Linked DNA regions of Saccharomyces cerevisiae S288C. The protein of the gene in region 1 interacts with the protein of each later gene in a biochemical or structural test. Each region holds a gene or a part of one and is shown in the gene's direction. Other genes may lie near its edges. The genes, in order: CDA1 and CMK1.

What was found.
Region 2: the proteins of CDA1 (region 1) and CMK1 form a complex in vitro, tested with the Saccharomyces cerevisiae proteins (2 studies listed by BioGRID, with this or other methods).

Annotation. Positions count from the first base shown.
Region 1 is NC_001144.5:735,774-753,061, forward strand, and holds CDA1 (chitin deacetylase CDA1), read left to right. Parts: upstream 1-9,846; coding exon 9,847-10,752; downstream 10,753-17,288. Other genes in the region: aconitate hydratase ACO1, read right to left, coding at 1-1,775; 1-phosphatidylinositol 4-kinase STT4, read right to left, coding at 2,388-8,090; NEDD8-conjugating protein UBC12, read left to right, coding at 8,378-8,380, 8,515-9,078; DPA10 (Dpa10p), read right to left, coding at 11,075-11,338; chitin deacetylase CDA2, read left to right, coding at 12,164-13,102; IMH1 (Imh1p), read right to left, coding at 13,261-15,996; Ras family guanine nucleotide exchange factor CDC25, read right to left, coding at 16,451-17,288. UniProt on the Saccharomyces cerevisiae protein: Hydrolyzes the N-acetamido groups of N-acetyl-D-glucosamine residues in chitin to form chitosan and acetate. Chitosan is a component of the spore wall.
Region 2 is NC_001138.5:168,061-175,615, reverse strand, and holds CMK1 (calmodulin-dependent protein kinase CMK1), read left to right. Parts: upstream 1-1,738; coding exon 1,739-3,079; downstream 3,080-7,555. Other genes in the region: glycogen (starch) synthase GSY1, read left to right, coding at 1-1,351; IOC3 (Ioc3p), read right to left, coding at 3,331-5,694; YFR012W-A (uncharacterized protein), read right to left, coding at 6,306-6,392; DCV1 (Dcv1p), read right to left, coding at 7,120-7,555.

The DNA of each region.
Region 1 (17,288 bases):
TCAGTAGTTGTCTTACCGACGGCCTTAATCAAGATTGGCATGTCTTTAGCATCCTTACCATCCCAAGGTTTGAATGGTTTCAACAGTTGTAGACGGTCTGAAGTTGGAGAAACTTTAACTTCAACGGTGCTACGGTCTGCAGGTGGAGCTTGGTAAGTGTTCTCACCAGCATCATAACCTCTTTGAGGCAAACCATCACCATGTGGTGGTTTCAACATGAACTCATTACCATCCTTGTCCTTTAATTTGTCTGTTAGAGGGTTGAATCTCAAATCACCCGCAATGGCGAACGCAGTTACTAATTCTGGAGATGCAACAAAAGCATGAGTTTGTGGGTTACCATCATTTCTAGAAGTGAAATTTCTGTTGTAAGAGGAAACGATAGTATTCTTGTCACCTTTCTTGATATCTCTACGATCCCATTGACCAATACATGGGCCACAGGCGTTTGCCAAAACGATACCACCAAATTCTTTGAAGGTTTCTAATTGGCCATCACGTTCAATAGTGGCTCTGATTTGTTCAGAACCTGGAGTAACAGTGAAAATGGTCTTGGATTTCAAACCATGAGCAGCAGCATCCTTGACAATGGATGCTGAACGAGACATATCTTCATAAGAGGAATTGGTACAAGAACCGATCAAACCGACTCTGACATCCAATGGCCAGTTATTAGCAACAGCAACTTCCTTCATCTTAGAAACTGGAGTAGCCAAATCGGGGGTAAATGGCCCATTGATGTATGGTTCCAGAGTGTTCAAGTCAATTTCGACGACCTCATCGTATTCAGCATCCTTATCAGCAGATAATAGGTCCTTGTGGTATAATTTAGCAAAGTCAGCGATCTTACCACGACCAGTTGCTTCCAAATATTCAATCATAGATTTGTTGAATGGGAAAACAGATGTGGTAGCACCGATTTCAGCACCCATATTACAAATGGTACCCATACCAGTAGCGGAGAAGGTGTCAACACCATCACCGAAATATTCAACAATTTTACCAGTACCACCTTTGACAGTTGTGATACCAGCCAATTTCAAAATAATATCCTTTGGAGAAGTCCAACCGTTCATCTTACCAGTCAACTTAACACCTAAGATCTTTGGAGCCTTCAATTCCCATGGACGACCTGCCATAACATCAACGGCATCAGCACCACCAACACCAATAGCCAATTGACCTAAACCACCAGCATTTGGTGTATGGGAGTCAGTACCAATGATCAAAGCACCTGGGAAAGCGTAGTTTTCCAGAACAATTTGGTGAATGATACCGGAACCTGGCTTCCAGAAACCCATGTTATATTTCGCAGTGGCAGAGGCCAAGAAATCATAAACTTCCTTGTTTAGATCTATAGCTCTCTTCAAATCTTTTTCACCACCAACTTGTGCTTGAATCAAATGGTCACAGTGGACAGTGACTGGCTTAGCAACCTGTGGTAAACCAGCGGACATAAATTGTAAAATAGCCATTTGAGCAGTAGCATCTTGACAGGCAACACGATCTGGTCTTAATTTTAGGTATGAAACACCTCTCTGAATATCTTGACCATGAGGGTCATCCAAGTGACCGTACAAAATCTTTTCCGCGTAGGTAAATGGCCTGTTTAATCTTTTTCTTACGATATCCAGCGTTTCCACATTCTGCTTGTAGTTAATAAAAGAATGATCTTCTAATAAGTTTTGGTTGACTTTTGAATCTCTAGTCAAGTTGGAGACTGTCGCAAGACCACGAACAATGGGTCTCTTGATGGCAGAACGTGCAGACAGCATTGTATATCTATAGTAATAATGGTAGTATTTATTACCTTCGTTCTACTATGTAATAACTAAGAAAGAGTGAACAGAACAAGGGACAACGGAATTAAGCAACATACTCCTCCTAATTAACCTCTAAAACCGGAAGATTATATATATAACAAAAGATTTTCCTTGTCCTCCCTTTTTGTGCTTGCCTTTCCGAAAACCGGCAGCGATTGGAGGTTTGATGGTTAAAGTCGCCTGCGGAGAACAACTGAAGGGTTCAAATTTTTCTCGTATGCACTAATTTCTCTATTGATTGGTCAGGACCTTTGCCGATTTCGGCGCCGAAATGCTCGAAAAACAAAGGGTATTGCCCGGCCCCGCGGACCTCCCTTTTGCGGCTCTCGGCCATTTTTTAGGTAATTTGACACCGTGCCCAAATGGCTTGGCACAATCGAGAATCAGGCACCCGCGTGTGACCGGCGTCATTCATTAAAGCCAGATAAGACAAAGTAAAATACAATGGATTATGATTAATACAATGATATACAAAAAGAGAGAAAATAAACGAAGGCTACGTCTGCGTAATTGACGATGGGAAACTGGTATTTTTATATAAGCATATGTAAAGTGCGAAGTATATCAGTACGGAATGCCATTTGTGAGCCTTTGGAATTCATCATAACCTTTAGTGAATATACTTTCATAACTTTTACGGATTAGCGCCTTCATATATAGTGCAGCTTCGTGATCGGTTTTTTGAGGTTGAAATCTTGCTCTTAGATTCCTAATTGTCTTGTGACCCTTAAAGCAGGGGAGACCGCTTCCTAACATAGGATTTACACACTCAATTATGGCCTCCACGTGCGGACGGGCGGCTAGATATGCCTTGATACAAAGTTCTTCAAAGTCCAGATACGCTGGGGTCTGGGGCGAACCTCCCATCACTTTAACCATTTCTTTCGTCAGCTTGAATGGTACTGCTTCAAACTTGATACCACCTGGGACAATATCAAAAATAAACCCAAAATCGATATGTAGACAATGTCCTTGATCATCGTACATAATGTTACCATTATGTCTATCCTTGAATTGCAACAAATACGAAATTACGCTATATCCCGCTAAGGATTTAACAAAGTTGTTTCGTGCGTTTTGAAATTCGATAGTAGATTCATTACCAAATTTACTAGTGAAATATTCATATAATCCATTAACAGCTTCACGTCCTAACATATCACGGGATACCGAATTGGGTAGCACATCGATGACACCACAACCCGGTGCCGTCGCAGTAACTCTGTAGGGAAAAACGTAGACATCCAAGCCAATACTAGACCAAATGGTTCTAAATAGCGAGATCAATTGTAACGCTAGAACATCTTGCCTACAGTCATCACCGACTTTGAAGATAGCAGCTTGCCATTTTTCAACTTCCTTGTTTTTACCTGTCAAAGGATCTTTTACGTCTTTCTTTATTTTAAAGGTCGCCATAAAAGGCGCCTTTGCGTGAGATTGAAGTGGCTTACCACTCTTCCGATCAATATCAATAACTACACCGTCAGGATTAGAAGGTAAATAAACATCAGGTTTCACCTCAATTTTGCTCATTTCTTCATCGATCTTATGTTTCTTTTCAGCCTTACTTTTTTTTATGTATGGTTTCAACTTACCAGATATGCCAGTTACTTCGTCGAAGAATTCAAATTCACGTTCGTAAAAATCGCGATGAGATTGGCTGAAACTTGAAACCATACGCTCCCTAATACGATCTAGAGTTGGTTTGATTTCATCTTCTTGTATACCTTCATCATCCTTGTAGCAGTTTGCAAGCATATTCCAGATTATTTGATGAGAAAATAACACACTAATTTTCGCAGTATCCAAAATCAATCTTTCGACATATCCGGTTTTATCGTATCTCAAACATTGTACGATTTGAGGAACATAGAAGAATGCCAAGTTCACATCTTGTGATTCCAACGAATATATGCTGAATTGTAAGATAAAAGAATTACCTTGCCATTCGGGAAGGAAAAGGTTGATAGATTTTAACGGGCTCACTGGCGCCCAGTATAAGGTTGCGTGTAGGTCTTTCTTACTGCTCAGGTGGCTTCCTTTTATGAACAGGTCAAGAGCACTTGGGGACCCCACACACATTAAAGCATGTTTTGCAACTAAGCCCACTAAAACATCCTCAGCTTTCTTGCTATAACATCGTTGTAAGAGATTTATTGCTAATGTTGGATCTTTAGCAAAGGTAGCTTCAACGATATCGCTTGTAAGCTCGTTGCTGTCGGCTCCTTCAATCTTCTCAGTCGGAGTAAGCCAGGTTTGAATCTGCTGGATTTCGCTTGCCAAGAAATAGTTCAGGATCTTGTAATCTTTCCCGCAATGACGTGACATTAGCGAGCTTAATTTGTTGAGCTGAAGGAAAAGGTCCCTAGTAACAGATAAATCTGCTTTGATTTTCAGCTCATTTGAGCCGAATGGCCACGCTACTGGTCTTTTAAACCAACTTAGGGCACCGTTTGTGATTTCTTGCGACAAACGGCCCATATACTTGGATCCCTGCTTATAACTTGCGTTTAGTACGAGAGTCGCGAATAACAATAATTCGTGGCGAATCATTCTAGCGAACGGGTGTAGTGAAGCCTTATACAGATTCTTGATACCATAAAGCGCACATTTCGTGAAAATTTTCAATAAAAAGTCACTTTGAAATAGTGTGCCCTCGAAATGGGAAGCAAAAAATTTAATAACATGAAGATGTGGTTGCATAGCTTGGGATGCATTTTTTGCATCTCTGTTGATACCTGCTTTGTCGTAAGGGGAATATTCCATTTTTTGGTATTCTTCGCCCTTTAAGTCATGATCGCGAGAATAGAGACCAATATTGTCATCAATGGAGCGCATCCAGCAATAGCATACTTCAACTAAAAGCAAATGTGCAACTTCGGGCTTCTCAGTTATGATTGTTAACCATACGTTTGTAGCAATCTTTAAAGATGCAGAGGTGAAGACTTCGAACGGGATGTGCACAATATCATATATCAATGACGCTGGTGCACCATTGCCAAGAATTAACAACGCGGTAGCCATATCAAGAAAATCAGTTACGTCTTTAGTTATAATCTTATTTCCTAAGGTCAAATTTTTTCTTATGTTTTGAGTGGAAATACCTATTTGCCTTTTGATATCCTCTGGTGATGATGTAATAGCGGTATCGAAAAGATATTTTGACCTCCAAGAATGTAAAGATATAAATCCAGAAATCGTGTTAGGTTTCTCTGGACCATAATAAGTAAGCCTTGATAATTCCTTATCTGCAGGTAAAATCAAACCAGCCATATCCATGGCAAATGAGACACCAAATTCAACAGAATTTAGCCTGCTGTACTCACCGAGATCTGATATGTATGATTGCAACAAAATCTTAGTATCCTGGTTGCTTCTATTCAATAGAATTCTTACCCATTCTTTAGCTGACTTGTGCAATCTTGATAGTGTCGTAGCGCGCCAGGACGATGAGCTTGGAACCAATATTGTTGTCTTAGAATGTTTTAATTTAAATTCATACCGTGGTTCAAATTTATGCGCCTCTGAGTCCAAGATACTATCAAATAGGGCTGTTAACATATCTAATAAGGTGTAGAGAGACAAATGATGACATAACGATGATGGAATAGATCTGATAAATATTTCACAGGCATGAAAAGCGGCATCCTGCAAAGTTGGTTCCCTATGAGAAAGGCAAAGTAGCAAGTTATTAAGTTGTTGAGCAATCATTTTGGAGTTGAATATGGCATCGTTACCCTTTTGAATCAACCTAGCATATTTTCTAATCATGGAAACCGACAAAACTGCAATACACTTCTCAATTGAACCGGAAAGAATGGAGGGGTCTGAGAAGTACAGTAGAGTCTTCGAACAATCACCTGCCTCGCATCTTATCGTTTCTAGAAGAACGGCAGCCGCTAAAAACATGATTTTAGACGATGAAGTTGTTCTGTACTGAACAATATTGGTATTGAAATATTCGGTTATCTGCTGTTTTTGTTGTTTGATATTTTCGTTAGATGAACCGCGGCGCAAAATTGTATTCATTTCCAATGAAAGCTCCTTGTTATTAGCAGGAAATTCAGAAGCCAGCGGTGGTGAATTATAGGCAATAGTTAATAAGAAAGAAAAATTTCGTTTGACAATAGGCCCGCCCAAGTGGTACCCATGGATGACAAAATTAAACCAGGCGTTCCTAAACTTGTTTGTAGTGACTTCATCCTTATTGATGTCCAATGGCGTATCGCCTGGAACAGGTAGTAGAGCGGCGAGGGGCTCTAAGTAGGTAGCGATTTGATCAGCAACACGGGAAATCTCCGTTTGAGGTCTGTGATGTTCCAATCGTTCTACTTCCCCACTGGCAATGATTGAGTCCAATAGATCATGAAGATACATGAAATATAAGTCACTTGAAAAATGCCTGGCCAACAATTCTTTTGATATCACACATTTCGCTTTAATAATATTTTTCAATAGTGCGCTATCATCAATTTTTGTTGCAATAACAGTTCTCGATTTGAAGAACTTTAGTAAAAGCGAAAATTCTGTCAGTGAAGTATTCGGAGCCAGTCTTGCCAAAGAATTCAAAATAACACCGTCTAATTCCTTTGACATAGAATTAACTTTTTGCGTAAGAATAGAGATAGTCAAAGCTGTTATGCTTTGGGTGTTATAGTATGAGGCGATTGTAGTCGTTGCAGCCACACAATTAGATATCAAAGAGGCATGGTATGTCATAGTAGCTCCACTATTGACATCATGGGAGGAAAGTTGGCCCACAGTTGTATTTCCGAGCAGAGCACCAGTGCCATCCAAACTGGCAGATGAATTTCGCAAGGGAAAGTAGTCTTTCTCAATATTTTTTCCAGATGTTATTGTTAATTGGCGCTCACGGAGCACCGGGACGGGCGATCCGTCCTCGGAAACAGCTAATAAGTTGTTCATGGAATAAATTGTACTCACAATTGCATCTTCATTTAGAGGGTATAACCCTGTGGTGAATATTTTTGCAACATCATTAACTGTTTCAGTCGTGATATGTGGAGACGCTACCAATAAAGGAAACATACGAATCAGAGTTAATGACAATTTTTCCGTGAAAAAATTCAGTAATGAGGCAGAAGCTACAATTGCTTTTATCAAAGATGGTGTAACGACATCAGATAAGAAAAATTTATCAATAGATTCAGAAACAACGTTTGTAAAACTTTCAAAAAGCTCGCTTTCTGTATCTTCTATAAACGGAATTAAACATAGCGTTTGTAGGTAGTGGGCTCGAGTATCAAAAGAAAATCTTGCACGGTTGTCTGTAGATAGGTCGAGAATATGTGACTCAGAACAAAATTGCAGGGAAATTTTACACATGTCTGTAAAAAACTGTTTATTGCTTCTTACGTTGAAAAAAAAGTCATCAATACACTTCGTATCATCGTTTTCATCGGCTACTTCTTGATCAAATTTGTAAAATTGGTATTGTTGATTTAGTAAGAACTCACTCAAGTTGGCGCCGACATGTGAAGTGTTTAACAGATGAGATATTAGCGAAACTTGCAAGCGAGATATTAATTCCAATAAGTAGGCACTGGATAGCTCATTTCCAGCATCGTAATACTGGACGATTGAATCATTGGTAAACGTTGCTGAGGAATTCAAAATCTTATCAACTTCGTTTAGAAATGATCCACGAAGCACAAGTTTCGCTAACTTTTTCCAGGTGAATTTAGTAAGCTCTGTAGAGTTGGGAAACTGGATAAATGCATTAATAAAGCCCACTAATGATAGTAGACCAGATTGTTTAATAGTAAAAATCTTTAATACACGCTCAAAATAAGTTGAAATGATGCCGCCTATATTTTCATAAAGAACGGGATACTGTTCACAAGCTTGAATCATAAACTTAGTCAGCTGGAAAGTTAGCAATTCAATCGGATTTCTCATCTGTTCCAACTTGAATTTCGAGGACAGAACATCTGAAATTCTTTGTCTTGGAGTTTCCAGAAAATAAGGCGCAATTATTTCTTTAAGCATTGTCTCTACCAGATCGAGCGTGGTAGGGATTGCAACACAAAGCGAAGTTAGTACTTCCCATTCACTCAATGTAAGTGGTATAGTATATATCTTTGACGTATTTGTGGAATAAAAAATAGGCAATGTATGAGTTATCAAATCTAATGTTGTACCATTACTGTTTTGATCATTTGGTGCACCCGTCGAAAGTTTAGTTAGTCTTCCAATAGCTTTCGCTCTTAAAGATGAAGAGGCTTTCAATCCTCTGGTAAATCTCATCTGCCTTAAACGAGTGGCGTTTTCGATTGCTGTAGTTATCTTTTTGTGATCTAATTTTTTTCTTGATTTACAATAGTTATTAATGTTGAATATGTTTTTTCCCACAACTCAAACATCTTCGCAGTATTCTTGAAAAAAAAAAATACTATTAACGTACCTTCATCCCTGCGCGTGCCGTTTGATGATATCAGCCAAAAGGTAAAATGAGATGAAAAAGGCCAATCATTCATAAATGTACTTAGAGACATTAAAGAATCAGTTAGAGAATATAAAACAAGATAATAAAAATGGTACGTAGATGCAACTATATCTTTCCGTTTCTCATTGGCGGTTTTTAGCGATCGAAAATACTAACATAATCTTTTTGGGGGGTGAGAATGTATATGTGTACTGGATATGTATATTCTTGGCTTTATTCAAATAGTTGAAATTACGCCAATTACAAAAGAAAAAGCAAAAAGAAAATGAAAACAGCAGTTCTATTCAGCCTAATTTATCGGCAGCAAGAATTCGTTTGAAAAGGGACCTTGATTCGCTGGACCTCCCACCAACAGTGACTTTGAATGTAATAACATCACCAGATAGTGCGGATAGATCACAATCGCCGAAATTGGAGGTAATTGTTAGGCCTGATGAAGGATATTATAATTATGGATCTATTAATTTCAATTTGGATTTTAACGAAGTTTATCCGATTGAACCACCAAAAGTTGTATGTTTGAAGAAGATCTTTCATCCAAATATCGATTTAAAGGGGAACGTTTGCCTAAATATTCTTCGAGAAGACTGGTCGCCAGCTCTAGATTTGCAGAGTATTATAACCGGGCTTCTTTTCTTGTTCTTGGAGCCTAATCCCAATGACCCGTTAAACAAGGATGCAGCAAAGTTACTGTGTGAGGGTGAGAAAGAATTTGCTGAAGCTGTGAGATTGACCATGTCTGGAGGTTCAATTGAACATGTCAAATATGATAACATAGTTTCTCCTTGAGTCAAGTTCAGAGTAATTTTCGGTTGATTTGATTATATATAAACAATAAAATTATAGATAATTGTGACATACTAGGCGAGTTGTCGCCTTGGTAACATCTTGCTACCGCCATCTTCTGTTAGTTTACGCCTTATGACCAACATTCCTTATATTCTCGTTCAAACTTTTGTCTCGATATTTTGCAGGTACCTGTAGAACTTAATGTGTTCTATTCAAAATAAGTATAAAATTTCTGGCCAGTAAAGGCAAACAAAACATAAAGATATTAATACGAAAAATTTCTTGAAGAAAACAAAAAATACTTCTTATAATAAAGAAACAGCGAAGCCATGGCTATTGACAAGATAATCAGGAAGGTGAGATACCCTGGATAGAAGACTAAGAGAGAGCAGGAAGTTGAAGAACGCAATCTCAGCTATCGCTAATTCTTACAAAAAATAAAGATATTACAACTATGGAAGAAAAAAATGAATGACTATACTAGTTAGTAATATTTAACAAGATAACGCTTTCTATTTTCTGTAAAAAAAATTCTGTCTCATGCACTTGGAAGCAGCTTCAACATTTCTCTTTTCCAGATGTCACATTTTCCGGACCGGCCGTCATTCAATCGCAATTAAAAGAGAAAAATACCAACAAGTGGGTTGATTTACTTTTGTGTTTTCAAAAAGACCAATAGTTCTAACAAAGTAGATGCTTAGAAGTAAGCAAAGTGGAATATAGAGAAACAAAATTAAGTGATAGATTTACTTTTACACAAGAAAAGAGATGAAAATTTTCAATACAATACAATCTGTGCTGTTCGCAGCATTTTTTCTAAAACAGGGAAATTGCCTTGCGTCAAATGGGAGTACCGCATTGATGGGGGAAGTAGATATGCAAACGCCCTTTCCAGAGTGGTTAACAGAATTTACTAATCTTACACAATGGCCTGGAATTGACCCACCTTATATTCCGCTAGATTACATAAATCTTACTGAAGTGCCAGAATTAGATAGGTACTATCCTGGCCAGTGTCCCAAAATTTCTAGAGAGCAGTGCTCATTTGACTGCTATAACTGCATCGATGTTGATGATGTAACTTCGTGTTTCAAACTTTCCCAAACATTTGACGACGGTCCGGCCCCGGCGACAGAGGCATTGCTCAAGAAATTGAGACAAAGAACCACTTTTTTTGTTCTGGGGATAAACACTGTTAATTATCCTGATATATATGAGCATATTTTAGAGAGGGGTCATTTGATTGGTACACACACGTGGTCACATGAATTCTTGCCAAGTTTATCAAACGAAGAAATTGTAGCCCAAATTGAATGGTCAATTTGGGCTATGAATGCCACAGGCAAACATTTCCCCAAGTATTTTAGGCCTCCATACGGTGCAATTGATAATAGGGTTAGAGCTATAGTAAAACAGTTTGGCCTAACGGTTGTCTTGTGGGATCTCGATACTTTTGATTGGAAATTAATCACTAATGATGATTTCAGAACAGAGGAAGAAATACTTATGGACATAAATACTTGGAAGGGAAAACGGAAAGGTTTGATCTTAGAGCACGATGGTGCACGAAGAACAGTTGAGGTTGCTATTAAAATCAACGAACTTATTGGTAGTGACCAATTGACAATTGCAGAATGTATTGGTGATACAGACTACATCGAACGCTACGACTAGAAGTAAGATTTCCGAGAAATAAAGTTTCTCTCTATATATCTTTGATCTCTTATTTAATTATTCAACTCGCAAAAATAAAAAGAATATTTTGTTATTTCAAAAGTAAAAAAGTATGTATTAGAATAGAGGACATATATAAAAATCATATATATCGATGCTTGAATGTATAAGGAAAAGCGTCAAATTATGAACGGTAGGTACTTAGGATGCTGATGTCACATAAAGTCAGAGGGTATAACTTTAAAAAGTAATTTTTTAGAATCTTTTAGCGTCAAAACGTTACACGTACATTTGAACAGTGTTAAGAGTAGATTAATTCAAATTATACTTTTACGTGCTCCGATACAGTCTCTACCTCTTCGTTGTCAGTGCAAATAACAATTGGCTTATCATGAACTGTTCTTGGAGATGGAGAATATCCTTTCAGACTCGTAATATTGATGACGGTAGTTATTCTGCGACATTGAGTAGTACTAGCATCCCTTATAACCGGAATAGTTGTTGATGTAGGTGAACTTTTTGGGACATAACACTTGGCAGTTGTTTGCAAATTTTTTGTGATCATTGATATGTTTCTTAGTGACATTTTTGATGCTATTGTTTTTATAGTGTAATTGCTATGAGTTTATTTTGTTGACAAGTATACTTGGCTGTCTTTTTTATATAATAACGAAAATGTGTAGTGGAAAAGCAGGTGTGTTTTGTCTTATATCTTACAAACTATATAGGCTTATATAGTTTTTTTTCAAAGATTCTTATTACTGCACAAAAAAAAATAAGATCCCAAATTGAACATTAACATTAGTCATATTCAGGGATGGCTCATCACGAACAGCAAACTGAATAATTTTCTTGTCTGCGTTCCTTTTTTTGTGCACCAATGGATGTAGTATGCGCACCTGATGCGCATAATAGATTGCAATTACACTGACTACAACTTACGTATATGCGTTTTTATTACTTTTCTATTGCAACGGCCTAAAGGAATTCGATAAAAGAAAGAGTAGGCAAGATAAGCCTGAATTTGGCTTTCGGCTGTTATTTTTACTTCCGCTAAATTTTCTTTGTTCTTCCATTGTTTTTTTGCCTTTGTGTTCTCCATTAATCCATCCAATTTTAATGTCGGATTAATGGAACTTTCTATTAACCCATAAATGCCACATAGTACGGCTGTAGCAGTGAAGGTTACAAAAGGACGGGTAACACATGAGAAACATGCGTCAGGGAACAAACTAGATATTTGATTTTGTGACGCAACGCAAAAATTACTGGCTATTCTTTTGTAGTATTATCAAAATCCATTTAAAATATTCTCTCTCCTTCAGTAATCCTCTATTATTTATCAAAAACCCACAGTGGGTAAACAAACTGCAAAAGAGTTGTTATTATTTCTACGGATCGGCAATTGAAAATGAGAATACAACTAAATACAATTGATTTGCAATGTATTATTGCACTTTCCTGTCTGGGGCAATTTGTTCACGCGGAAGCTAATAGGGAAGATTTAAAGCAGATAGACTTTCAATTTCCTGTATTGGAAAGGGCAGCTACAAAAACGCCTTTTCCGGATTGGCTTAGTGCATTTACCGGGTTAAAAGAATGGCCTGGGTTAGATCCACCTTATATACCTTTAGATTTCATTGATTTCAGTCAAATTCCAGATTATAAGGAATATGATCAAAACCATTGCGACAGTGTTCCAAGGGACTCGTGCTCTTTCGATTGCCATCACTGCACCGAACACGATGATGTGTACACATGTTCCAAACTTTCCCAGACATTTGACGATGGTCCTTCTGCTTCCACTACTAAATTATTGGACCGGTTGAAGCATAATTCCACCTTCTTCAATTTAGGTGTCAATATAGTTCAACATCCAGATATCTATCAAAGAATGCAAAAGGAGGGACACTTAATCGGCTCACATACCTGGTCTCACGTATATTTGCCAAATGTATCGAATGAAAAAATTATAGCTCAAATTGAATGGTCCATCTGGGCGATGAATGCTACTGGCAACCATACCCCCAAATGGTTCAGACCTCCATATGGCGGAATAGATAATAGAGTAAGAGCAATAACAAGGCAATTTGGCTTACAAGCCGTCTTATGGGATCACGATACTTTTGATTGGAGCCTCCTTCTCAATGATTCTGTCATAACTGAACAAGAAATTCTTCAAAATGTAATAAACTGGAACAAGTCAGGAACCGGATTAATATTAGAACACGATTCAACGGAAAAAACTGTCGATCTTGCCATTAAAATAAATAAGTTGATAGGTGATGATCAATCAACAGTTTCTCATTGTGTCGGCGGAATTGATTACATAAAAGAATTCTTGTCCTAATTTTCAGGGAATTGAAGAAAATAAGGAAGAATTAAATTACAATTTAAAAAGAAATTGCTTTAGTATTTTATATATAGACATGCAGCAACTTCTTGATATATTTCAGGAAGAAAAAAACTGTTTCAATATATACGTATCTTCTGCTTTCAGCTACATTTTTACTTCAGAGACATAACCAGTCTTTTTTCATCAGTACTGTCCAGTTGTAACAACATAGAAATTACAGGAAGTAATTGGTTCCGTTGTTCCTTGTGCTCCAAAAATCCCAACAAAACATTTTTTATATATGCAATTTTTTCATTTTTCTCAGAGTCTAACTCCAATGAACTTGATGATCGTATCTTCTCTAATTTAGTTGGATTAGAGTTATTCGCTGGTGAGGAATCAATATTCGCGTTAGCTAGAGTACCGATAGAACCAGACCTACTAACTCTTCCTGACTTGTCACTGTATTGTCTTTCCTTTAAAGCATTCAATTGAGAGGACAATGAACGATAATTTTTTAGTAATCGATCAAATTTCTTGTTAAGTTCGTTATTTAAATTCAGAAGTTTCTCATTGGCAGACTGTAGCTCAAAATTCTTTTCATCAGCCTTAGACAATGAGAGTTTTAAATTAGATGTGATCTGTTCCAACTGATCGGAATCATCTGAAGTGGCTTGAGTCTTCCTTTTGATGTCATTGTTAACATGTTTCAATGCGTCAACCTCTGATTTTAGTCCCTCTTCACGAAGCTTTAAAGCGTGTATTTCCGATTTCAGCTCAGTTACTGTATGCTTCCACTCTTGTAATTCAGTGGCCTTTCTGGATGTTTGTAAGTCTAATTCTGCTTCCAATTTATTCTTTTCATCCGTTAAATAGGCCAATTTATTCTCCAACTCTTTTTGTTTGCTCGAATCATCTGTCTGACTGTCCGAAACTAACCTTCTCAATGTGTTAGCTTCTCTGGTTTTGTCTTGAACAATATTAGCATATTCATTTAGTTCATCTTCTAAAGATAAAATTTTTTTTGTAGATTCCTTCAACTTGACATTTAGTTCCTCACATTGTCTTTTGATAGAATCTATGTGTTCATTCGAATTACTTTTTACATTTTGCAAGGTATTGTATTTTTCTTGCAAAATATTCAATCTTTCCGATAATTTACCATTTTCTTTCAAATACTCCTCGTAGGAATTAGAATTCTTTGCGATATCATTATGCAGTGTCTCATTTTCCTTTTTTAATAAGTCTAATCTGTTAGAAATTTTAGCATGATCTTTTCTCAGCTGTTCTGTGGATTTTTCAGCCACGTCCTTTTGCTCACTAAATTGTTTAACTTGTTCCTCCAAGTAACTCACAGTTTTTTCCTTTTGTTTATAAGAGGTTCTTAAAGAAGTAAGCTCCTTTGTTATGTTTGATTTTTCGTAGGTAAGTTGAGATATCTCCTCATTTAATTTGGCTACCTTGTTCTGCGATGTAGTCTGCTCTTTCTCCTTTTCTGTACATAAATTCTTCAGATGCTCTACTTTCTTGCTCAATAACTCTATCTTACTTCTCAACTCAGTATTTTTAGCTTCGTAGGCCTCGATCATCGTTGCATTTTTATGGCGTAAATCATCGAGCTCCAGCTTAACGGTTTTCACTTCTTCATTTTGTTTACTCGAAGACTCTTTAATCTCATCTTTTGCGTCCACAAGCTCATTGCCTACAGTCCTCAGCATATCTCTCACCTCCTCTAGCTCCGAATTTTTTTCTTTCAATGACTTCTTGGTATCGATCAACTCGGTGTTAAGGGTTTCCAGCTCCTTTGCTGATTTTTCGAGCTGTGAGTTTTCCAATTCTTTAGCATCTTTTAGTTCTGCTTCTATATCTTCATACTTTTGCTTCCAATCTTCACAATCTTTATATTTTTCTTGTAATTCTTGCAAATTTTCTTTAAGCTTATCATATTCTTCAGTATTGATTGAGTTATCGACCGTTTCCTCTTCACTGATATCACCCGTAGTTATGCCTCCCTTATTTTTCTTTCCCTTGTTTCTATTCTTTTTCCTTCTGTTATTGTTTCCTACATTTTGATGAGATATCGCCTTCGGTAACTCCTTCATTTTTTTTTCCAATTCACTCAGCTTGCGCTCTTTCTCTTTTAAAGTAATATTTAGTTCTGCCAACTCTGAGGACTTTTCCTCCATTATAGTACTTTTCGAAGACAAATTTTGCTCCAATTCGGTTATCTTCATTCGACTGTCCTCGAGAGAATGGTTCTTTATAGCCAATTCTTCCTTCAGTTCGGATATAGATACTTCTTCTTTCTGTTTTTTGGCCTCCCTTTCTTCCTTTAGTATATTTTCCAGTGCAACTATTTTTTCTCTCAAACCTGAAACAGTATCATTTTTTTCTTTTTGTACAGTATCCAATTCTATGTTTAAAGCTTCCATTTTTTTTTTTAGATCGTCTATGTCATTTTTATAATTTTGCTCTTTTTTCAAAAATTCCTCTTCTTTATCCTTCAGAGTTTCACTAGAGGCGCTTTCTGGAATTTCCGAGTTCTGCTTAGTTAATCTCTTGATCTCATCATTCAATAGGTTATTTTTGTTGTTTAAATCCTGGAAAAAAGCTGGCAACGTATCCACTGCGTCGTCAATATTAGATATGGGTGTATTTTCCGCTAAAATCTTTTCAACAGCCTCTAACTTCTCTGACTTTAATTTTTCATTTTTGTATGCGGAGAGTAGCAAAGGGTATTTTTGTTCATATTTCTCAAATTTTCTTAATTTAGCTTGTATTTCTTTTGGCAAGCCACTCTTATCATCTTCGATTTGTTGTTCTGACGGGGTAGGGCTCATATCATCGGCTAAGCCCTTCGCTAATTCATCGGTAAGATTCTTACCAATTTGTGACAGCTGTTTGAACATTGAATCAGCAAATGTTTCCCTAAGTTAAAATCACCTCAAATGTAACTCCTGTTGCTTACTATTTGACGTTTCTGCTACATTTGGTTCTCTTATATTGCTGGATCTGAAAATCCGAACTATGAGAATGCGGGTAATAGCTTTTCATAGAATCACTAATTGATATTTTTTCAGGTAATAAGTTTCCTCTAATCGGGCATTTAAAATCTTGGATCGATAACTTAACTGGGTGTAATAAAATATATAAAGATATAAAATAGATATATATATATAAAACGAACTTTATCAAGAAGAACTGCAAATGAAGCGTACTCTCAAATCCTCGAAAACGAAAAACACTCCACCAGTACAGTATTATCACGAAGAATATTAAGTAAAAGCAGCCATCTTAAATAATAGAGTGTAGCAATCAAACATAAAGCTAAGGTTCTTCTTGATTAGCAAATTGTATAAACTTTTATCGAAATAACCTAGAAGGAGGTTTTTTCTTACCTAGCTTCAAAAAATTGCCATTTTTATCATCTGTAAATTCACTTAGGAATTTTGCAGTTTTTGTACCGCTAGCAGAAGAAGCATGCGTACTGCCTTTGGTGTTTCCTGATCTCGGTTCCACTTGCAGTGATAATTGATACTGCTTTTCAATGTGGGGGACATTTTCCAAAGACGCTTCTATAACGGTCTGAATATCATCCAATCGTTTCAGCTTGTAATGGAATCTTTTAAAGCTTATAATTTCCTCCACTATATTTGCGATTTTAGTCCTCTTGCTGAAGTTTATTATGTTGGTTGAATTGTGAAGAAAATCTGGGTTTCCGACAAACGTAAATGTTAAATCAGATAGGTATACACCAAAAAAGGGAACACATGCAACGTCCGTCACGGATCGCAACAGCTCTCTATACTTCACAAAATTTCTCTTGGAATCCATAAGGTTGTTTAGGTTCTTCAGAAGGTCCTTCGACTCAGTGGAAACTAAATCCCATGTCTTTTTCAGTCGGTAGATTGGGGAGGAATACAAAGCGGACACTATGGCAGTCATTGAAGAAAAATTATTCAACTCTTTACAATGCTGGGCAACGGTAACAAAATATTGCGTTAATTTTGAACGTGTCTTGACATCTGCCTGTTTTACAATGGTATGAGAAACAAAATTAGTTAGCGTATTAGCATTAGCTATAAATTTCGTAATGTTCGGAGAACCACCCATATTACAATACTTGGTACCCCATGCCCTATCCAAGCATTCAAACATAGTGATCCTGAGGTATAAGTCATGTTCAAGTACAGTCAATTGT
Region 2 (7,555 bases), on another chromosome or scaffold:
GAAGAGGAAACCGGATGGCATTTTGCCCAATGGTTTGAACGTTGTTAAGTTTCAAGCAGTACATGAATTTCAAAATCTGCATGCCCTGAAAAAGGACAAAATTAATGATTTCGTCAGAGGCCATTTCCATGGTTGTTTTGATTTCGATCTAGACAACACAGTTTATTTCTTTATCGCTGGTAGATATGAATACAAAAACAAAGGTGCTGACATGTTCATTGAATCATTGGCTCGTCTCAATTACAGATTGAAGGTTTCTGGATCCAAGAAGACGGTGGTAGCGTTTTTGATCATGCCTGCCAAAACCAATTCCTTCACTGTGGAGGCACTGAAAAGCCAAGCCATTGTAAAATCTTTGGAAAATACTGTTAATGAGGTCACCGCATCCATTGGGAAGAGAATTTTCGAGCATACGATGAGATACCCTCATAATGGCCTAGAATCAGAGTTGCCCACTAATTTAGATGAGCTGTTGAAGAGTTCTGAAAAGGTTTTGCTGAAGAAAAGGGTATTGGCGCTGAGAAGACCTTACGGGGAATTGCCTCCGGTAGTCACACATAACATGTGCGATGATGCTAACGATCCAATTTTAAACCAAATTAGACATGTTAGATTATTCAATGATTCGAGTGATCGTGTAAAAGTGATTTTCCATCCTGAATTCTTAAACGCCAATAACCCTATCCTTGGTTTGGATTATGACGAGTTTGTTCGCGGCTGTCACTTGGGTGTTTTTCCATCCTATTACGAACCATGGGGGTACACGCCAGCAGAATGTACCGTCATGGGTGTCCCATCTATCACAACAAACGTTTCTGGGTTCGGTGCCTACATGGAAGACTTGATTGAAACAGACCAAGCGAAAGACTATGGTATTTATATTGTAGACCGTCGTTTCAAGAGCCCTGATGAATCTGTCGAGCAATTAGCAGACTACATGGAAGAGTTTGTAAACAAGACCAGAAGACAAAGAATCAACCAAAGAAACAGAACCGAAAGACTATCAGACTTGTTAGATTGGAAGAGAATGGGGTTGGAATACGTTAAGGCTAGACAGTTGGGTCTTCGTAGGGCCTATCCAGAGCAGTTCAAGCAACTGGTGGGTGAAACAATTAGTGACGCCAATATGAATACTCTTGCCGGTGGCAAGAAATTCAAGATTGCCAGGCCTTTGAGTGTACCCGGATCCCCCAAAGTAAGGTCCAATAGTACTGTTTACATGACTCCGGGCGATTTAGGTACCCTTCAAGATGCTAATAATGCAGATGACTATTTTAATTTGAGCACGAATGGAGCCATCGACAATGACGATGATGACAACGATACGTCTGCATACTACGAGGATAATTAAAACCATCTTAACTTCTGCTAACATATCTTACTCTTTTAGCTGAGCATCAAATTAATTTTAGTATTGCACGTTCTGTTATTCTTGTATAAGTACATAGAAATAATAGCAGTAGAAAAAATAGAAGTAATTTTACCTTTACAGTACATATGTGTTAGTATAAGGAACCTTTTACGTGGGATACTTTGCTTACGAAGAAAAGGCTGAAAAAAAAAAAAAAAGAAACTCCCCCCGCGTTTAGAATGGTGCAGCCGAGCTACCTACGCAGGGGATAAAAAGAACGAAAGCCACATCGACTACAAGCCAGAGTATAAATGGTTTCAATTCTCGTAGAGAACTCACAATTATATAATATTGGAAGACACCAGAAAAAATAACGAGTCAATTACTATGGACGACAAAGTTTCAGAAAAGGAGAGCTCCCCAAAACAAACAGAGGAGGATTCTGAAGGTAAAATGGCACATGTGCAGCCTGCTTCGTACGTGAATAAAAAAAAATATGTTTTTGGGAAGACATTAGGTGCTGGTACATTTGGTGTGGTGAGACAAGCCAAAAACACTGAAACAGGGGAGGACGTGGCCGTTAAAATCCTGATCAAGAAAGCACTAAAGGGAAACAAGGTTCAGCTAGAGGCTTTATACGACGAGTTAGACATTTTACAAAGACTGCATCATCCAAATATAGTGGCATTTAAGGATTGGTTTGAATCAAAAGACAAGTTCTACATTATCACGCAATTAGCCAAAGGGGGTGAATTGTTCGATAGGATTTTGAAGAAGGGTAAGTTCACTGAGGAAGATGCAGTGAGAATTTTGGTTGAAATATTGAGCGCAGTCAAATATATGCATTCTCAGAATATTGTTCATAGGGACTTGAAACCGGAAAATTTACTGTATATAGATAAAAGTGACGAATCTCCACTGGTAGTTGCTGATTTTGGTATCGCAAAGAGATTGAAAAGTGATGAGGAACTCCTCTATAAGCCGGCAGGCTCACTGGGTTACGTGGCTCCAGAGGTACTTACTCAGGACGGTCATGGTAAACCTTGCGACATTTGGTCGATAGGTGTCATTACGTATACTTTGCTTTGCGGTTATTCGGCGTTTAGAGCCGAAAGGGTTCAAGATTTCCTTGACGAATGCACAACTGGTGAGTATCCAGTGAAGTTTCATAGGCCTTATTGGGATTCCGTTTCCAATAAAGCAAAACAATTCATCTTGAAGGCTCTTAATTTGGATCCTTCAAAGAGACCGACCGCCGCAGAACTCTTGGAAGATCCATGGATTATTTGTACCGAATTGAAGACGCACAATTTATTGCCTGGGTTAAAGGAAGGATTGGATGCTCGTCAAAAGTTCCGTAATTCTGTTGAGAGAGTCAGATTAAACATGAAGATCCAGAAATTAAGAGATCTGTATCTTGAACAGACAGAGAGTGATTCAGATTTTGACGAAGGAAGTCAAGCAAACGGTTCAGTTCCTCCATTGAAAGCAACGGATACCAGTCAACTATCCAAGAAGCTATCAGAAGAAGAACAGTCTAAGTTGAAGTCCGAGTTAACCAGCAAAGCTTTTGCACAATTAGTTAACACAGTGCTTGCCGAAAAGGAAAAATTTTTAAATATTAACAGAGTCTGTAGTTCTGATAGCGATCTTCCTGGGAGTGATATAAAGTCTTTGGATGAGGCGAAGGAGAAACCAGAGGGGAAGGATACCAAAACAGAAGAATGATAACAGTATGCCGTTTTACCACACTGGCGAATAAATCTTCAATGACTTTGTAAGCTCGAATATGCGCAAGATTTGACTTTGATATTTTGCACTTTTTCGTCCTCACTTTCTACCTTTTTTTTTTATGCCTTAGTTGAAAAGATACGCGTATCTAATTATGTACTAATAGTCTTAATTTTACATTACTTAATTAATCGAAATGCAGCCTGTAAGGAGTTTCACAATCTTCACGTTCGTTGAAAGCTAGTTGTCTAAGTGCGCTGCCTTTTAACTCTACCATCATCAAAAGAAGAATCATTGTCGTTGTCATCATAAATATCAGCTTCGTCGTCTTCTTCATCATCGACATATTCCTCGCTATCATATTCCGTATTATAGTTTACAGTCTGTCGCTGTATCCTTCTCAACTGTCTCTTGCCTGGCTTCATGTCTGCAAATTGCACTTTCATTTGTTCAAACTGACGAAGAATGAAATAGTAATCAGATAAAAATTCCTTTAATATCTGTAACTTCTTTCTCGCAGTGTTATATTTTGCGTCTTTTGGTAGCGGGTTTGTATTTATGGAGGGATTATTATCAGTGGTAGATTTCTGCTCCAATATGTGCGCTTCATTATTCAGTGCTTCTTTTTCTTTTTCATTTCCCTCCTTTTTCTCATCTTGAGGTTTAACAATTTTATAGTCCAAGAACTCCAAGAACTCCAGCAGTGTTGCTGAATCGTGGCATAATTCATACCAATAAACCTTCCCCGATGTATTTCTGCCTCGTGCAACATCATGCGCCAACGATGGTGTGTCATGGTAAAACAATTTGAATTGGGCACTCATCGATTGTCCATCATTTTCAAACAGTGTAAAAGCGTTGTATTCATTATTTTTGAATTTCGATAGCAATGCTTGTAGATTTCTCAAATCAGTGAAGGTGCTCATTTCGAGTGAGTCCCCATAACTGTGTAATCTTGGCATATAAAAATCACCTATATGGGGAACTCTACCAAGGAAGAACTCTTGTAATCGCAATTTATAAAGTCTTTCCGAAAAAGGATTGGCTAATGGTTGATCAGGTAATTCGCCTTCAAACAATGGGACCCACTTGTCGTACAGTGAGAACAAAAGTTCATCCTTTTCGGATTTTACAGCGTTCTTCAATTCCGCTTTAATTTCCTTCAGTATTTCTAGCTTCCTTGATAAATCTGGTTTTTTACCCTCTTTTAGTTGTTTAACAAAATGTTTTTTCTTACTTCTGATTTCATATCTTGATTGAATTAGTGAGCAGAGTTTTTTAAACTGATTTATGGTATTATCTACCCCTTCAATTGTATACCTAGGCACTTGTTGTGTTTGGATGCCAAAAACGGGATCTTTTTTACCATGAGTTAATTTGTATATCTCGTCATGAATAGCAGATGAATGGGAAGCGCACCAGTCAGTTAACGCCCTCAATAAAACAACGCGATCCATTGGTTTGAGCGCCAAAATTCCATTCTTGTCCATTTCTCGATTATACAAAGGATTTGATTCCAATGGGAGTGGTTCATTAGCATTCCAGGTATATATATTTGGCGTTAAAATTTCTGGATGACTGGGATCCACCACTGGTGTTTGTTCATCTTGTTCAAAAAGAGCAGTTTTAGGTTTGGAGATATCTTGGTCACTGGGGAGTTGTTGACGCCATTCTCGTGGATACCCCCATTCGCGAGCTACAAGTCTTAACCGATAAAGAGGATTGGAAAATACTTTCTTGGAGGACGATTTTAGATTCTCCCAGGTTGTTAATGGACCTTTCTTCTTGGCACTTTTACCATCAAAATTTTCAGTAAATGTTAAATCTAACAAGGATAGGAACAGTAAATTCATTTTGTCTTGGCAATAGACGATATCCTTGATGGCCATAAAATCAGGATATAGCAATAAGGAGGTGTCTTCAGGACCCTTCACTATACCAGCTGCGCTTCCATTAGGATCGCCGGGATACAAATCTAAACCGACCTCAAAATCTTGGAATGATAAATTTTGTAGGTCAGAATGGAAAAAAGAACTAAACTTATTTATGAACGCCATCAGCTTAATGATATCTCCAGCATATGGCACAGGCTTCATGTTCGGATTTTTTAACCTAGAGATGACACTATACTGGTTCTTGAAATCAGAAGTAAGCAAGGGTATTACAGAAGTCCAATTGCTAGGGATCAAAGCGGGTTCTACTTGTTCATGGGCTGGTTTAGGTTTCGGCGCCACTTTTTTGTCATTAGTCTTCAGTGTAGGTTTGCCATCCTTAGCAATTGAGGTAGTCTTCTTTTTCTCTACTTTATCATTTGATTTAGAGTTCTGTGTGGAAGGTGCCTTTTTCTTAGGAGGAGCAGGTCTCTTCCTCTTGGGTTTATTCGCCCTTTCCTTTAACTCTTCCTCGTATTCATCATAAATGCTCGTTCTTGGCTTAGGAACACGTCTTGATCTCCTTAAATTATCAGAAGATTGTGAAACACTAACACTTTGATCGGTTTGTAAGGGCATAGCCATTGATACGCGATCATGATCATGGTCAGCAAGCTGTGCGGAAGAGCTGCCCTGGGCTTCTTGCTGCAAATTCTGGATAGAATTGGATGGAGAATCCATAAACAATAGGGGATTGCAAACTTTGCTTGAAGTACTTGGTAAGTGATAGTTTTGTTGGCCGAAACCAATGTGGAAGATATCACCATCTTAAGAAATTAAGTCCATTCATTAGTATAAACTCACGTAATTTCAATGAATTTGTTAAAGTTTCAGCAAATCGTGAAGCACGATATTTCACTTTTATGATCCGAGAGGGAATATTACTAGTACTTCCACGCATAAGGAAAGTCAATGTTAACAAATACCGCCATACCGCCATACCTGTCCTCTGTAGTCACTGCTAATGTTAATGTAAATAAATTACATCTAAAAGTTGTTTTCTCTTCAGTAATTTTAGAAACCGTTAAGAGGAAAAATGGGCACTTCCTTTCTTTGTTTCAGAAATTAAGCTCAAAAAGATGGGCTCGATAAAAGTAGCATACTATTTACTCTATCTTATTTTTATTTTCTATATACTAGTCTATCAGACTCAGACGTCAACGATGTGGAATACGGATGGAATCATTAAATAGTAGCAAGAAGTACTTTATTCTTATTTTTCAAATTGCGGCGCGCCAACAAAACGCGTACAAAAAAAGCAGATTGGATAGTACTTTATTCTTGTTATTTTGTCATTGGAAAGTATAAGCTGGTTGTGGATTACTCTTCACACGATGTGCCTGTTTTTTGTAGGCGGGCTTGTACTTTCTGGGGAGCATGCTGTGTATGTTGTAGGTCTGTGGCAATGTTTGTCGGGAGTGTTCGCTGTTACCATGAGTTGTCTGTGAGTAGTAGCGATTGTAATTGTGGTTGTATCCTACTGGTCTTCTTCGGGAATACCAAGGAATGAAAGAGTTATGAGGAACCTCACTTTGATCCTGGTAATTATTTGGTTGTTGTAGTTGATATTGGCGGGGCTCTGTGAGACAATGATTTTTTTTTGAATATATTTTAAAGCAATCGGCTGATTGGGTAGCCTCAACGCCAAATAACCAAGGAGGGTCGTAGTTATCTTGTGAATGGCTTGAGATTCCCTCATAATATAAAATATTTGCCTTTTTTTTTTCAGTAGGCATTTCCACATTTTCTTGCTTTGCAGGTAAGTCGGTTATATTGATTTCATCCAAAGATAAGGATTTTTGATTTTCAACATGCCTTCTAGAAAATATTTGTTTACCATTCAACTTTGGAGCGAAGAAACTCACCAAACCTGCTTGCTTCAATGGAGATTTGATTTCAGGCGGTGGTTCATCTTGATTTGTTACCGCCAGTTTATCTTGATTGGGATCTAAGGTCCTTGGTAGATCATTAAAAAGACTTGTGATGTCATACACAGATTGGTCTGTGCCCTTAGTTGTTTGTGGATAATTTTCGCCAAGGGAACTTGATGTTTGACTCGTTCCATATAGTTTGAGAATACTGTCTACGTTCTCTATACTAGCTTCTTTAGCTATGTTTTCTGTCTGACTGCGCAGACGTATCAAACCTAAAACTGAGAAAATGCACGCCAATAACGAGCAGAGGGAACAGGGAACAGTTAGCCAGCCACACCAAGTCGTATAAGGATGAAATTGTAACAGGATCACGGTGCATGCAAAGTAACAGGATCACGGTGCATGCAAAAATAGTTGATAAAAGTGTCAATATGTGTAATATAGCGTTGGAAGTAATAAGTGAGACATTAGTTCCTCCAGTCTGAAAAAGAAAAATAATAACCAAGGGAAGTGCAAAAGAAATGAAAGTCAAACATGTAGCAACCGGTATCGAAATCAAAAGTCCTCCTATTGTATGTCTTGCCTTAGGACTCAGCCACCAACGTTCAAGAGAAGGGCCAGGTAATATTTCTTTCGAGGTGTTATATATTAAACGTACTCGAGAGCAG